Linked DNA regions of Arabidopsis thaliana. The protein of the gene in region 1 interacts with the protein of each later gene in a pairwise test. Each region holds a gene or a part of one and is shown in the gene's direction. Other genes may lie near its edges.

Evidence for each region. Proteins that work in one complex are often made in the same cells at the same time.
Region 2: the proteins of AT5G15500 (region 1) and HS1 interact in a protein complementation assay, tested with the Arabidopsis thaliana proteins (one large-scale study listed by BioGRID).

What each region holds. Positions count from the first base shown.
Region 1 is NC_003076.8:5,030,219-5,038,301, reverse strand, and holds AT5G15500 (Ankyrin repeat family protein), read left to right. Parts: upstream 1-4,761; 5' UTR 4,762-4,858; coding exon 4,859-5,174; exon of another isoform or gene 5,175-5,453; coding exon 5,454-6,511; 3' UTR 6,512-6,654; downstream 6,655-8,083. Other genes in the region: AT5G15520 (Ribosomal protein S19e family protein), read left to right, coding at 166-249, 535-625, 710-893, 988-1,060; AT5G15510 (TPX2 (targeting protein for Xklp2) protein family), read right to left, coding at 1,714-1,915, 2,032-2,126, 2,213-2,272, 2,571-2,669, 2,790-2,909, 3,005-3,097, 3,210-3,255, 3,338-4,182.
Region 2 is NC_003074.8:5,878,664-5,885,884, forward strand, and holds HS1 (heat stable protein 1), read left to right. Parts: upstream 1-3,255; 5' UTR 3,256-3,302; intron 3,303-3,401; exon of another isoform or gene 3,402-3,413; 5' UTR 3,414-3,654; coding exon 3,655-3,794; intron 3,795-4,043; coding exon 4,044-4,233; 3' UTR 4,234-4,537; downstream 4,538-7,221. Other genes in the region: UPL6 (ubiquitin protein ligase 6), read left to right, coding at 111-236, 355-453, 745-812, 919-985, 1,207-1,377, 1,467-1,556, 1,651-1,731, 1,840-1,913 and 3 more; PMEI2 (pectin methylesterase inhibitor 2), read right to left, coding at 4,665-5,186; AT3G17225 (Plant invertase/pectin methylesterase inhibitor superfamily protein), read right to left, coding at 5,711-6,268.

The sequences.
Region 1 (8,083 bases):
AAGCCGCTTAAATAGATTTAATGGCCCATAATGGGTTAGGCGGGTCGATTCGGGTTCAGTGTGTCCGAAAAAAACCCTAATTGAAAATTGATTGCTCAGATATATATAGACTTTGTGACTGAAAATTGAAAGCTCTTGGCTTAACTTAACGGAGTGATTCGTGAAATGGCGACTGGTAAAACCGTGAAAGATGTTTCTCCTCACGATTTCGTGAAGGCTTACGCTTCTCACCTCAAGCGATCTGGAAAGGTTAGTGTTTTGATGCTTCTCTCTCAAGTTTGATTGATTCAGCTGAGAATCGAAAGACGTCACAAAAGGATCTGATAATGAGTTTTAGAGGAAACAATTGAGAGTTTGAGGGAGCTTCTGATATTGTAGTTCAATGTGTTGGTGTGATTTTGAGGCATTGAATACTATAAAACGACTGAGGAAGAGAGAAATAGAGATAGAAATGATAGATTCTTGATGTTAGTGATCATAGGCAGCTAATTGGAAATTCACTGTAATAATAGTTGTCTCTTTTGTCTGATTTAGATTGAGCTTCCTCTATGGACAGACATTGTGAAGACTGGTCGTTTGAAGGAGCTTGCTCCATATGACCCTGATTGGTACTACATTAGAGCTGGTAAAAAAAAGCTTAGCTTTCTCTTCGCTTGTTTTTGTTTTTATAGAGTCGTTATGAACGTTGTTGATATCTTGTATGGTGCAGCTTCTATGGCCAGAAAGATTTACTTGAGAGGAGGTCTTGGTGTTGGTGCTTTCAGAAGAATTTATGGAGGTAGCAAAAGAAATGGAAGTCGACCACCACATTTCTGTAAGAGCAGTGGTGGTATTGCTCGCCATATTCTCCAACAGTTGGAGACAATGAGCATTGTCGAGCTTGACACTAAAGGGTAATTCTTATTTCTTTCTAAAGGCACTTTTCGTAGGAAGACCTTGTTAGTGACTTACTTTCATCTCTCCTCCTTTGTTCATTCTTTGTCTCAGAGGGAGAAGAATCACTTCGAGCGGTCAACGGGATTTGGATCAGGTTGCTGGGCGTATTGCAGCTGAATCATGAAGAGCTGTTGTTCTCCTTATGCTTGCTTTGGAGGAGCCTCAAGAATGTTATAGATCTTTTTAGCTTTTGTGATTTTAGATCTCTACTCTCTTCTGCTCTGTTCATTTTGACGAACTAATTTGATATTTGATGAAGCTATTAAAGTTTTGTTCTTTACAGTGATTTTGTATCCCAAGTTTACTCTTCTTCATAGAAATCTCAAGAAACAATTTACTCTTCTCTATGAAAACTCTTCTGGTATGTCAGTCATATACAAATTTAAATTGGAAGATGATTTAAAACTCACATATGTTTCTTGACCAGAACTAAACCAATGTACACCGGATTCTGCAAACAAATGTATGAGAGGTGGAACACGGATTGAATCATAAGATAAGTCAGTTAAATCCAAATTCAAACTGGAGGATAAGTATTATATCTTTCTGAACCAGATCAAACCAGATTTTGCAAACAATATGGAATCTTTCTCATTTTCTTGGGTGAAGACCAGATTATTATTACAAAGGTGAAACAAGAATGATTGTCAAATCTATGAAACTGCAACTAATTGGTTACAGAAAGGTAATGTAGTTTTGAAAATGAGAATATGAACAAGGATGATATAGTAGTAAATCCAAAAGAAGCTTTCTAGAGAAACTGATATTGGAAATCGCTCATGCAGGAGCCAGTTTCACTCCAAGAAGATGAACTGCAGCATCTGATCTTCTTGTGTTGCGGTATGTGAAACTTGGGATCTCGTGGTGCAGTTGGATGTTTGCTCGACCTTTTAATGGTAAAAGAAAACAACAAGAAGCAACTGTGTCAGCTTTTGCAATGACGTTCATTGTTATAAGAAAGTTTACTCTATTAGTTGGTCTGTGAAAACTATATTGAAAACATATTTCTCACTTGAAAACAATATCTATATTACCTATCATGCTCTCATAATAAGAAAGATTCAAGAGGATAGTATTTATGTACCAGTCTTTTACCTTCTTGGAATGAATGGTCGATCAAAGTATGGCATTGGTTGTGCTTTTGGGACCAATTCTTTCCTCAGCCTTCTTATCTCTTCTTCCTCTGCCAACTAAAAACAATATTGGATTTATCAAAATCAGTTAAAGCAAAACTCTATTATCGGATATGGCCACAACATCTCATATTAAAGTTTACCTTCTGTTGTCTTTCTCTTTCCATTTTGTATTGCTCAATGAAGCTCATCTTCTCGGCAACCTAGAACAACAAAAATTCAGACTTTAACATGAAGAAATTTATGGAACAATGCAAAGTTACTATAGACAAGTCAACCTTGGCTACAGACTACAATACACACTATTTGACACTATCAGCTATTTTCCTTTCCGTCTCAAGTCTTAACACAACCAGCTGATAAGAAAACAAGTATACTCTAAATGATTTGACAGAATGAAATGGTTACTGAAGCCAAATCATGTCAGCGGCTATGTTTTAAGGTATCTTGAACTTCAAGCCCAACAAAATGTAGATTTAATCATTGCATTAGCAAGGTTACCTGGTAATCAAATTCTGCGCGTTCAACTGCCCGGACATCTGAGTGGAGCGTCAAGTCGACTGGTCTTGTAATGTCTTTCCAATGAGGCTTCACTAGGCACTGAAACAGAAAACAACATTAGAACTTTTCATAGTCAACAAGACATCATCTCTCACTATTGTTACTACTAGAGCTTACAAGATCAATTGAGATGTTAATAGGAAAGCAGAACATGCTTACCTCAGGTTCATCGGTTGTCCATGGAAGACCTTGAGCAATGGGGATTCTCATCTTTTCTTCCTCCATTGTTATTTCGTGTATCTTTTTTGCTAACTCTTCCTCTTTCACTTTACCTCTTTGCTGCAGAGAGACAAAAGACCAACCAACTGTCATGACTCAATTTCCACCATAAAATTCGAAATTTTTCTTTAGTTTTAATCTAAAGAAACTCATACCTCAGTTCTAAGCTTAAACGGCTTCAATGAAGTGACCTTAACCTGCTTCTTCTTTGATCTTCTACTTCCCATTGTAGTCGATGACTCCATGCTCTGCCATAAACAGAAATATCAAAATGATTATTAAACTATACTGACATACTAAGCAAGACAGACAACCATTAAACAGCTAAGAAAATTCAGATGCTGCATGCAGGACACTTACATTTCTTCTACTTCTCCTGCCAGCATTTGAACTTCCACTCAAAACACTGAAACATCACAATATCAAACTATTCAGAACAAGACAAGTTCATAATTTCAGTGAGATCTCTTAGTCAACAACAAACTAACCTGCCACGGGTGCTGTCCCAGGACGAAGAAATCGAAGCATTGGGGTCTAAACCCAGATTCTTAGCTGTTAAGACCATTTCAGATGGACAAAACGAAGAACTCCATGGGTTTTTCTCTTTCTCACCCTCCAAGAATTCCAATTTCACAGGTTTCTTCGTATCCTCTTCGGTTTGATTCTCTTCTATCTTGTTGGCAGTCTTTGAATTACTAAAGCAAGTGAGTTTCTCAAATGCTTCTACAAGATTCATCACTTTACCAGATACAGGCACACTTTGCCGTGCTTCTTCCACCACCTTAGCTCTTGATCTCTTCATTGTGGAAACGCCTGTTTTCTCCGGTTCTCCAGATTCTTTTCCTTCTAGTTCATCGCCATTTCCGAGATTACAGCATTCCTCCAAAGCTTCCTTATCCTCCTCTGATTCAATTCGATTTTTGAAGAACTCCTCTTGCGAAGCACGCAGAGTTTCATATGCAACACAAACACACTTCATGTTCCCCTTCTTCCTCTCTCCGCATTTACAATCTATCTCAGCTGCCTTGGATTCTGTAATCGCTGGCTCCTTCTTCCCTTTCCTCGAATTCTTCTTCGCCACCACAACAAACTTCCTCTCTCTGATCCGATTCCGGGGAGAGAAAACCGCCTGGGTAGGTTTAGGGCTCGGACTCGGATTCTTCTGCGCTGATTTCTTCGCAGATTTCATGAGCGGTGATTTAGAAGGACTCGCTTGTGAAATGTTAGGGTTTGCATTCTCCGATGATCTGGAAATCTTTTGATTGGACTGAAACTTGCTCCGATCCTTCACCGGAGTCCCTGCTTTCCCATTCTTCAATGTCAACGACTCCATCGAAGATAACAGAATCTGGAATCAAGAGAGTAACACGAACAGTAATCGATCTAGATTTGAGAATCTCTCCAACAAAAAAAAAATTGATCGGAGGTGAAGAATTAGGGTTTGTTCTTGCTATGGAGTATTGTAAATCGAATAAGAAGATAGATTTGGGGGAAAAATGTGACCGTTGCGGCGCTCTTTGGACGCTCTCTAATAACGGCTAGTCTTTTTGGTGCTTTTTTAATAAATAAACTTAGATTAGTAATAAATAATTATTTTCCTAATCTTGTCCGTTAGATTGTCAAATTAATGATTATGATGATTTTAATCCACGTTTAATGCCACGTCACATCCGAATTTCAACACTTTAGCAGCGAGTTATTTTGTACAATCTTAGCCATTAGATCAAATAGATGCTGGAGCCGATATGATCCACGTTGTACTCCATGTCACATCAAATTTTCAGACAATAATTCTTATTTATCTAATATCAACCGTTGGATTAAATGATCAGATACTGACGTGTCCACGTATACTGCCACGTCACCTATAATTTCCCACTCTTTTCCTTTTTTTGGGAACTTCCTTCATTCACAAACGAGTTATCATTTCGTAGCCAATTAAGTTTCATCATCATATTTAATCACCAAAAATATAATTCGCATCGTCGTTCTGTTCTCTTGAGTCACTAATGGACCAAAGATCATTAGAAGCTGCTGCTAAATCTGGAAACATCGATCTACTATACGAACTAATCCATGAAGATCCATACGTTCTTGATAAAACCGACCACGTGCCCTTCGTTAATACTCCTCTCCATGTGGCAGCCGTCAATGGAAAAACAGAGTTTGCCATGGAAATGATGAACTTGAAACCATCTTTTGCTCGGAAACTTAACGCCGACGGACTTACACCGTTACACCTCGCCGTGGAACACGGTCACTTCTGGTTAGTACTTGAAGTAGTTAAGGTTGATCCAAGTCTTGTTCGTATTAAAGGGAGACATGGTACGTACACTCACTTATTTTGTTGAACCCTTAATTATGTTTCTTAGTTTTTTCCAAAAGCTTTAGCTCTAATCAATCCGAACTAATGTTATAATATGTATCTAGTAAATTCAAATCTTGGAGATAGTATTGAAGTAGGACGAACAGTCCATTGAATACTAGTTTGAATTCAGTCTATTGTTGCTTTTGACTAGTCATTATGTCGATATTGTATGGTCAGATCATGAACTAGATTGGTTATACCAGGAGTGTTTAATTCATTTTTCTTGTCCAAAAAAGGTATGACGCCATTGCTAGTTGCGGTAAGTAGAAAGAAGATTGATCTGATGTCAGAATTCTTCTTGGGTTGTCCCGAAAGCATTGTGGACGCAAATGTGAACGGAGAAAACGCTCTTCACATCGCCGTGAATAACTACGACCAAAGAGAAGGATTAAGCGTTCTTAAAGTTCTCATGGGATGGATCTTAAGATTGTGTCAAAAAGATGCAGAGTGGATCGAGACAAGAGTCATAAACCGAAGAGACAAAGACGGTAACACGCCTTTACATCTCGCGGCGTACGAGATCAATCGTCAAGCTATGAAATTGTTGTTAGAGAGCTCCAAGATTAACGTCAACATTGAGAACAAGAACGGTTTAACCGTGTTCGACATTGCTGTGTTACACAATAACAGAGAGATAGAGAGAATGGTTAAGAGACATGGTGGAAAACGTTCGGTTTCTCTTGTCAAGATTAAGACAACATCGGATATACTCGCGTCGCAGCTTTCTTGGAGAGAATCGAGACGGACGAAGAAGATTCGGTTTTATTCTTGGATCTCTGAAGAGAGAAGAAACGCTCTTTTAGTGGTCGCAACTCTCATCGTCACAGCTACATATCAGACGGTTCTCCAACCTCCCGGAGGCGTGTCTGATGGCGGTGGTCAAAAGAGTGGAACAAGCGGTCCGAAAGCGGGTTCAGTGGTTATGGACGAGGTCTACTTTATCTGGTTATGGTTGTGGAACAGTGCGGGGTTCTGCTTTGCGATTGAGATGATGATACGTTTGTTGAGTTTAGGACAAGAGAGTATGTTTTGGTATTACCCTCTGTTCGTTCCTATGGTCTTGGCTTACTCTGTTGCAGGGGATGTGATCAAGCCGAACGCAAGAGCGTACACGATCGCAGGTGTGGGTGCGATCGTGGTTCTTATAATTTGGGGATTGGTAGTTTGGTTTTGGGAATGGGTGCAGTCTAAGAGAACCAAGCAACGTGGACCCAAGAGTGGATTGGTTTGGGAAGGTTTCACTACGTTGGATCAAGCTAGAGGTGTTGCGCCTAATCGGTATGTGATTAGGTAATCTTAATTTCCTCTTGTTATTTTATTGTTGCTTTTGTATTTTTATTCTATAATGTGTAAAATCTCTACTCGGGGTAAACCTATTTACATGAAATATCTGTTTATTATTTGCTTCTAATATTTACTCTACGTGATATGATGTGCATAAAAAGACTACATGATTGACAAGAGTATACGTTGCTAGAAAGTGGAAGGTGTCGTATGACGCATTCTAATTCGAATGTAAATTAGTAAAATAATTACTGAATCTACAAAAATCATGATTTTGAGGTTTTATGGTCACAGTTAAAGTAACATGGCAAACTTGTATACGAATCAAAAAAATATTGAACCATGTTATATTTGAATTCTTTTTCAATATATTTGGTTTCGATTTATATTTTTCTAAAACTATATATAGCTTTAATATTAAAATTTCAACCGCACTCTTCTTTTTATTAGTTATTTATATAATTATGCAAATATAGCTTGAGAAGCACTTCAAAAAGTGTGACTGAGTTTTTAAGCAAAGTGCAGTTAGTCTTTTGTCTGAAGTTTGTCCTGCAGACCTCACCACACAATCACTTAAGTACTCATATATACAAAATGGTTTTATAATAATAGATTAACATGTACATTATTGAAACTAAACACCAAACTTTGGGAAGTATATTATTACTATGAATGGACATTGACGCACAGAAAAGGATTCAAACCAATAATGTATATTCCTTGTTAATATTTCTCAAATTAAATAATATATTTTGCTGGTAAGAAATATGTCTATATATATATATAATATTGTTTAGTAGGTGAACAAATAATATATACATAGCTATTTTTGTTTTGAAGCATCAATTACCTCAAGAGAAAATTTAATAAGTGGAAAAAGTCAGAAAAATATGAATCCATAATATAAGTGATTAAGTGTAAAGGTTGGGGAAAAAACGCTAAAGAGATACAAATTGTCCAAAAAAACAATTAAAAAGGTACTTCCTTTTTTTATATTGTGGAGATTGGTAAGTCAGTTATATTTTCTTCAATGAAAGTAAACAATAGACAGGCAATAAATGAATTTATTTAGTTTCCAATATAAAATTTGAATATGTTTTAATATACAAAATAGTAACAATCCATAAAAGAAATATATATTTATATATAATTTACAGTTTATTTTGTTGACTGATACAAACATTTTTCATGTTTTTTTGGCAAATACGATAAAGTGTATTTAAGTTGGTCGAAATCCAATCAATGGAAATATGTCAAATGTTTAACGTGTCTTGAAGACTTTTTACAAAAACCTGCCAAATATTGTGAGCCCATCGTTTTTTCTACCTATGTCATTCAATTTTTAACTGATAGTGTTTTGTTAAATTTAATTAAGCAATACTAATAAATACTAAGACTTTTAAACAAAAACCTGCCAAATATTTTGAGCCCATCGTTTTTTCTACCTGTACATCATTTAATTTTTAACTGAAAGTGTTTTGTTTAATTTAATTAAGCAATAATAATAAATAAGTAACCAAAAACACTTTAATATCTTTGACGGTTTCAAGGGCAATTTAGGAATCTCATGACCTATATAAAC
Region 2 (7,221 bases), on another chromosome or scaffold:
TCTAGCAATTGCTTGGCTCACTACTGAAACAGATCCATATTTCGTCCCTGTGTCTCTCTGATTTGTTTATCTTTTGCGATGCTTGTGATGCAAATAACTACTGGCTGTAGATTCGTGTGACATTTGTGAATGAACTCGGAGTTGAGGAAGCTGGTATTGATGGTGGTGGCATTTTCAAAGACTTCATGGAGAAAATTACCCGAGCAGCCTTTGATGTGCAATACGGGTTGTTTAAGGTCATATGTCTAGTTTTGCTCACCCAAGTTTTTGTGGATTTGATAATTTACCTTACTCCATCATCTTTGCATTTAGTACGTCTATCTTTCTCTGAATATTGTACATGCTTTCTTTCAGGAGACCGCTGATCACATGCTTTATCCTAATCCTGGATCAGGAATGATACATGAACAGCATCTCCAGTTCTTTCATTTTCTCGGCAGTCTCCTCGCAAAAGTATGGTATTTGATTGGTGGCCTTGATGCGGAACTCTTATAATTTACCATTTTTTACTCCTGAAAACTTTTATATATAGGACAGAAAGCAAACTATAATGCTTACAGTGTACGCCACATTTGATTTTTAATACACTACTCGCAATGTTTTTCATGCAAATAGAATTAGTAGGCGTATAACTTGATGTTTTCCTAGAAAAATTATTGAATTTGTCCTTTTGTCGTTATTTAAAGTTGCTTTTCATCTGTTATATAAGACTCATAATTGTTTTTTCCCGTTATCTTGTTGCAGGCTATGTTTGAAGGGATTCTTGTTGATATACCATTTGCAACGTTTTTCCTCAGCAAACTGAAACAAAAGTATGTAAATTTAATTTCTACCTCAATTTCCTGTCACTTCATTCGTTTTTTAAGCCCGCATAGACTTTTTGAACATGTTGTGAAACTTCTATTGTTCTTTGGCTAGGTACAACTATTTGAACGATTTGCCTTCTCTGGATCCTGAGTTGTATAGGCACCTTATATTTCTGAAGGTGAGTTTTGCTGAACATTCTATTTAATTGTTGCTTTGTAGAACGGGGAGATAGTTGCTAGCATAGATGTGCGAGAATGCTGAAATCTGTTTGTTTGTTTTTGTTTCGAAACTGAAATTTGTTTGTTTACCTACCTACGATAATTTTGGCTCTTTTTTTTTTTTTTTTTTTTGCTTCTTAGCTTTATACACCTTTTTATGTATTCATTATGATATTTGCAGCGTTATAAGGGTGATATCTCAGACTTGGAGCTTTACTTTGTTATTTTGAATAATGAATATGGAGAGAGGACAGAGGAAGAGCTACTTCCAGGGGGCCAAGACATGCGAGTTACAAATGAGAATGTTATAACTTTCATTCATCTGGTTTCCAATCATCGGTTAAATTTTCAGGTACTGGGGAACCACTTACCTCTCATTTATCTTGGCATACCTGAGGTCACCCTGTAAATCAACAGCTATTGATATCATCTCATTTGCAGATACGCCAGCAGAGTTCTCATTTCTTGAGGGGGTTTCAGCAACTCATTCCGAAAGAATGGATCGACATGTTCAATGAACATGAGCTTCAGGTGCCAATTAAGTGTATAATTATACTTGCTTTGTTAGTTGTTCCCTCGAGGAGCATGAAGAGAGAAATTTTACCTTTGTGGGCTTTGGTTGCAGGTTCTCATATCTGGTTCAGTTGATAGTTTGGATATAGACGACTTGCGAAACAACACTAATTATGCTGGAGGCTACCACGCGGTGAGTGGTTCTTCACTGTTAGCCGAAATGCCATTGTGAATTAGTGTAGGGACACTTTTGGAGTATTGTTATATATGATTATATCGCTATGTTGTTGACACTTGACAGGGACATTATGTGATCGATATGTTCTGGGAAGTTATGAAAAGCTTCTCAACTGAAAACCAGAAGAAGTTCTTAAAGTAAGCAAACTTTGCAGTTACTACTACAGTCTGTGTACGCAATGATTTACCGGAGTCTATGAATTTTCTAAGGGAACTAAGAGGTACCTCTATTTTTCAATTTCAGGTTTGTGACAGGCTGCTCACGAGGACCACTGCTGGGTTTCAAATACTTGGAACCTGCATTCTGCATACAGAGGTAATATACACAGACTCACAATCGTTTTGACTTTTGATGGGCCCTGGACAATAGAATCATAAAATATCCATCCTCGATGGAATGTGTATCAGGGCTGCCGGTAGTGCGAGTAATGAATCAGTTGATAGACTACCGACATCAGCCACTTGTATGAATCTTCTTAAGCTTCCGCCCTATCAAAGGTTTGTCCTCTCATAACACAAACTCTTTGGTTTTGCTTAGCTAAGAGACTTGTTTTGTTGCCAAATAGCTTCTCTTGGTGTTGTAATTGGAAAAAGCAAATAAAGCATGTCTTGTTGTTAATGATGCAGCAAAGAGCTACTTGAGACCAAATTGATGTACGCCATAAGCGCAGAAGCGGGTTTTGATCTGAGCTGATGGAATAGCTTCCTGCCTTAAACACAGACTTCAATGGCCCCAAATTGACACCCTTTTTTCTAGCATTCCTCGTTATGGTATAAACCGGGTAACCTGTAGACTGAGGCAGGCTTGTTGGCTCTAAGCATCTAAGAGACGGATCTAGAAGGAGAACATGTAGTAGAGATTACTTGACTAATGGGTTTCATTTGCAGCTCTCGGGTATTCGCTTTCAAAAAGTGTGACAAAAAAAAAAAAGTGATTACAGGGAAGTCTTTATTTGGAAGCTCCTGAGAGTTAGTCTTGGGTTAAAAATTCAATAAAAGAAATGGTAAATAAGACTGGTCTCAAGAGGAACTTAAATGCTGTAAATTATTTTGCTTAATTAATGCATGTTACACAGAACATAGATGATTATTTTGATACTTATTTGCATCATACCATATATCTTCTATAAAAAGATGCATTTTAGTGACTTAGTGGTAAGAATATCCTTTTTTTTTTTTTTTTGTCATATGATAATTATTAAAACAGAAACAAAATGACAGAAAAATAACGAGAAATACAAAATGAAATTTAAACTTTACTTTCCTTAGACACTTGATTGTGAAGTCATGAAGGCTCTCCAAGTGCTAAGTAAAACTTAGACTGAAACCTTCTGTCTTGAATCACACTCCCAAGAAATGGAACGCGCGATCAGATTTGCGTTTGTGGCAATATGACGGAATGTACAAGATTCAAATGCACTAACAATCTCATGGATTTGTGTTAACCAATTTCTATAGAAAGGCTATTTGGACGGCTGCAAAACGGCGTTAAGTGCGGCTGGACAGTCCAACTCTATTATCACCGTGGTAAGAATATCTCTATATACATTTTTTGTCGCACTTATCATGATTAATCAAGTAAACATAATTGTTACAAACACTTTATAAATTAAAAAAGCTTCAATTCAATTTGCACAGAAAAGAAAAAAAAAAGAAGAAGATTCAATACAGAGTATACCAGGAGCATCTGGTAATGTTTATATCTGAGGACGTTTTATTTAATTTTTTGGAACGAAAACAATAATCCGACGATCGTATTTGCACGTCGCAAATCCGCTCTTTTAATCAAAGATCTCGACCGTCCATTTTTAGTTAAGACTTTAGAGAGCTGATAAGTGGAATAGTGGAGATTTGCATTCGCAGGGGATAAGGATCAAAAATGGAGGAAGCAAAGGGACCTGTGAAGCACGTATTGCTTGCTAGTTTCAAAGATGGGGTTAGTCCTGAGAAAATCGAAGAGCTCATCAAAGGTTACGCCAATCTCGTCAATCTCATCGAACCTATGAAAGCTTTCCACTGGTTAGTAAATTTGGATTCTGAATTGCTTCCTAGTGTTAGACATATGCTCGAGATCCGAAAAACACTTCCATCAACTCAATATGATTATGTAAAACTAAGCAATTTGGGGAAATTCATGACCTTCCTAGTGTTGATCTAATTTCCCTCAGAGAGAATCCATCTCCATTGATGATCTTTTGAAAAGTTAAATCAACTAAATCGACGAATCTGCTCTTGTCTTATTGAATTATTGGATCTGTATAATTTTAGGGGAAAAGATGTGAGCATTGAGAATCTGCATCAAGGTTACACACACATCTTTGAATCCACATTTGAGAGTAAAGAAGCTGTTGCAGAGTACATTGCTCATCCTGCTCACGTTGAATTCGCCACCATCTTCCTTGGCAGCTTGGATAAAGTTTTGGTTATTGACTACAAGCCTACCTCTGTCTCTCTCTAATTATCTTGTAGCAGCATTTTCATCATTGATCTTTTTCTCGGGTATGCATCTTGTATGTTGAATAAAGTATATTCCTTTTGAGTTTTCCTGCATTGTTCTCATGTTTCTCTGTGAATTTCTCTCTTTTTTGTTTGTTTGTTTGTTTCCTTCTGTTGTATTATACTTGATCTGTAAAAAGATCATGAGTTTATTAAGAGTGTTTGATTTCAGACTCCTCTTTGTTATAAGTCTATTACTAGTTGTTGTCTCTTAGTTTCTTTTATCAATAGAGTTGAGTTATATGGAATAACAAGTTGAAAAGAAACCAGGTTCTTGTTGATGTGTGGGTTGGAGAAAAAAAGTTCTTTGATTATATATGTAACATTTATGCATTACTGTTTAATGTAATCGTCTAATGAGTATGATGAAGGGAGATTGAATCAATCCCACTCTCACATCATGTTTGAGATGACAAGTACAATGCCACAAATATTCTGAAAATCACCACTGTTCTTCACAGCTGAAGGATCAACTTTGAAATCCGCCATGTCTTGTTCACATGTTGAAGGTCCTTCCATAGCTGCTGAAACCTTAATGTTCAACCCTTTGCCATCGCCTGACGCCAGGCTCTGCTTAGCATCATTGAGACTGCTTATTGCACTCTTATAATGTTGTACACATGAGGTGTATGCTTTCTTCATAGTGGGGTTGGTTGCTGTCTTGACTAGAGATTGAATTTTCCTGAAACCTTCTGATGCACTTGTTTGTGCAGAACCAAATGTGATATTTGCAAGCGTTTGAAGATCAGCACCTGAGGTCTTTGGGTTGGATTTCATGTAGCTCGTACAGAAGGATTGGTTTTTCGCTTTTCCACATATCGCTTTTATGTCTGCCACTTGTGCGTTCAAAGAACCAGTCATTACAAAAAACATCAGAGAAGACATTAAAACTCTGTTCGTCAGGTATGCTGCCATCTTTGCTTCTTTCTTTCTTATGTTCGTTGGTAGATGATGGTTAAGTTATTCCCTTACTATGCCTGACTATTCATATTTATAGATGCATGCGATTGATTGCTTCCACTAGAACTAATAATAGAAATGGGTTGTTACTCTTTCTGATTCTTAGTTAGACCACAAGTCCTTATGTAAGAGAGAGAGAAAACTTTGCTATTCTTAGCATTAGTGCAGAGACAGTTATCTGATTAGTATTCGTCTAACTTACTTTCCTGACTTCTCTTCTTTAGGTAGATATGCATTCACTAATATGTGTTCATGATTTGTTGGTGCTAAGAAAGATTACTGTAGGAAGAGGTTCTATGGAGATAATTGTCATAAATATACACCAGAAGTAACGAGAGATTAAAGTCTTAGCTGAGATGCAAGACACGGTAATTTTGACTATGAATATATTCATTTATTGGTCTTTAAGTTACTAGTACATCAGCGTGAATGACATTTAGTAGTTTCTGCCTTCTTGCAGGTGAAAGATACATAAAGAATCAAGAAGTCAAAACGTCGGAGAAAACCCTATCAATATTACACATTCTCTTAAAAAACAAATTGAGTTTTGCTACATAAGCCGGCACATTTCCTGCAAACTGAGCTTCACACACTGATATACTAATGAAGGCTTTAGCAGCCCCTTGAGATGCTAACGGGTACGCCTTAGAGGTCACAAACCCTTGAGCTTCCTCGATCGCTTTAATGGCTCCTTCATAATCTCTCACGCAAGTCTCAAATGGGATCTTGAGCGTCGGATCAGTCGTGGTATTCACTGAGCCTTTCATCGCCGCTAGGTTCTTATTGCCCAATAATTGCGTCTTTTGGAAGACTAAATCGAGAAGACCTTGTAGGTCGAGGGTATATGTTGTTGGATCAGAGATTAGCCAAGTGATGCAGAAGTTGGTGTCAATGTGCGGTTCTGTGCAGAGTCGGGATAAGAAGGTTTTTGTGACTTTGTCACTCGGAGACAAAGATGAAGACAAAGGGGTGATTGATAGAAGAAGGAGTAGAGGAAGAAGTGAAAATACGTTTCTTTTGACGCAAGGATAAGCCATTGTCTTGGCTGCGGAAAGATAATTATGCGTATACTTGAGAGTCTGGGAGGTTCTTACTGCATACTAATATTAATATACATAGTTTTTGGACGACAAAAGTCAAGTTTTAGCTTGGTGTTGTTGATGAAATGTTACCCAAATTTGTTTTTCTTAGTCAATTGTTGACTCTAATTAAACACCTTCTTCTTTAGTTCAATATAATTCGCAATCCACCGTTGTTATTCGATTGATTAAGTTAAGAAAAATATCTTTGACTTTTGACTTGGGGTTACAAGAAAATCTTACACTTTCAGGAGTTTTGTTTTTGAAAAGATTTCAAAATCTTGGGTTATTAAATATATATTATATCATACAAAACTCCCAAAACTTTCTTTTTATTTTTTGTGCAAAACAAAACTCCCAAATCTAAACATAGGAATTCTATGGATGAGTGTCCGCATTCCAAACAGTGTTTTATATCTTCTTTTGAGTATTGTTTGTCGTACGTACTATTCAACTATCGTTTTCGTAAGTTTTTTATGACAAACATAGTACATATTTAAAGGAAACGAATCATTCCCAAAAATTTGAAGCAAACTGAACACAATCAATTAGGGCTACAATCAATCATACAGAGTGAAAAAATCATATCGAATTTGGTTTATTCATTTATTGGTTTTAAGTTACTAGTACATGAGAGTTAATGACATTTAATATACCCCTCCATTTTTATCTATTTGATGTTTTAGACGAAAAATTCTTTTAAAATAGATGATGTTTTCCACTTTCAATGCAAAAAGTAAAAAATTTTCTTGGTTTTGAATATTTTTATAATGCAGATTGTTTTACTATTGGTTGAATTGTGTTTAGGTAGATGATAAATAATGTTTTAGTTTATAAATAAACAAAAATTAAATAATTTTCTAATCAATATGCAAAAAACTTTAAATATCAAATCAAATATACAAAAATGG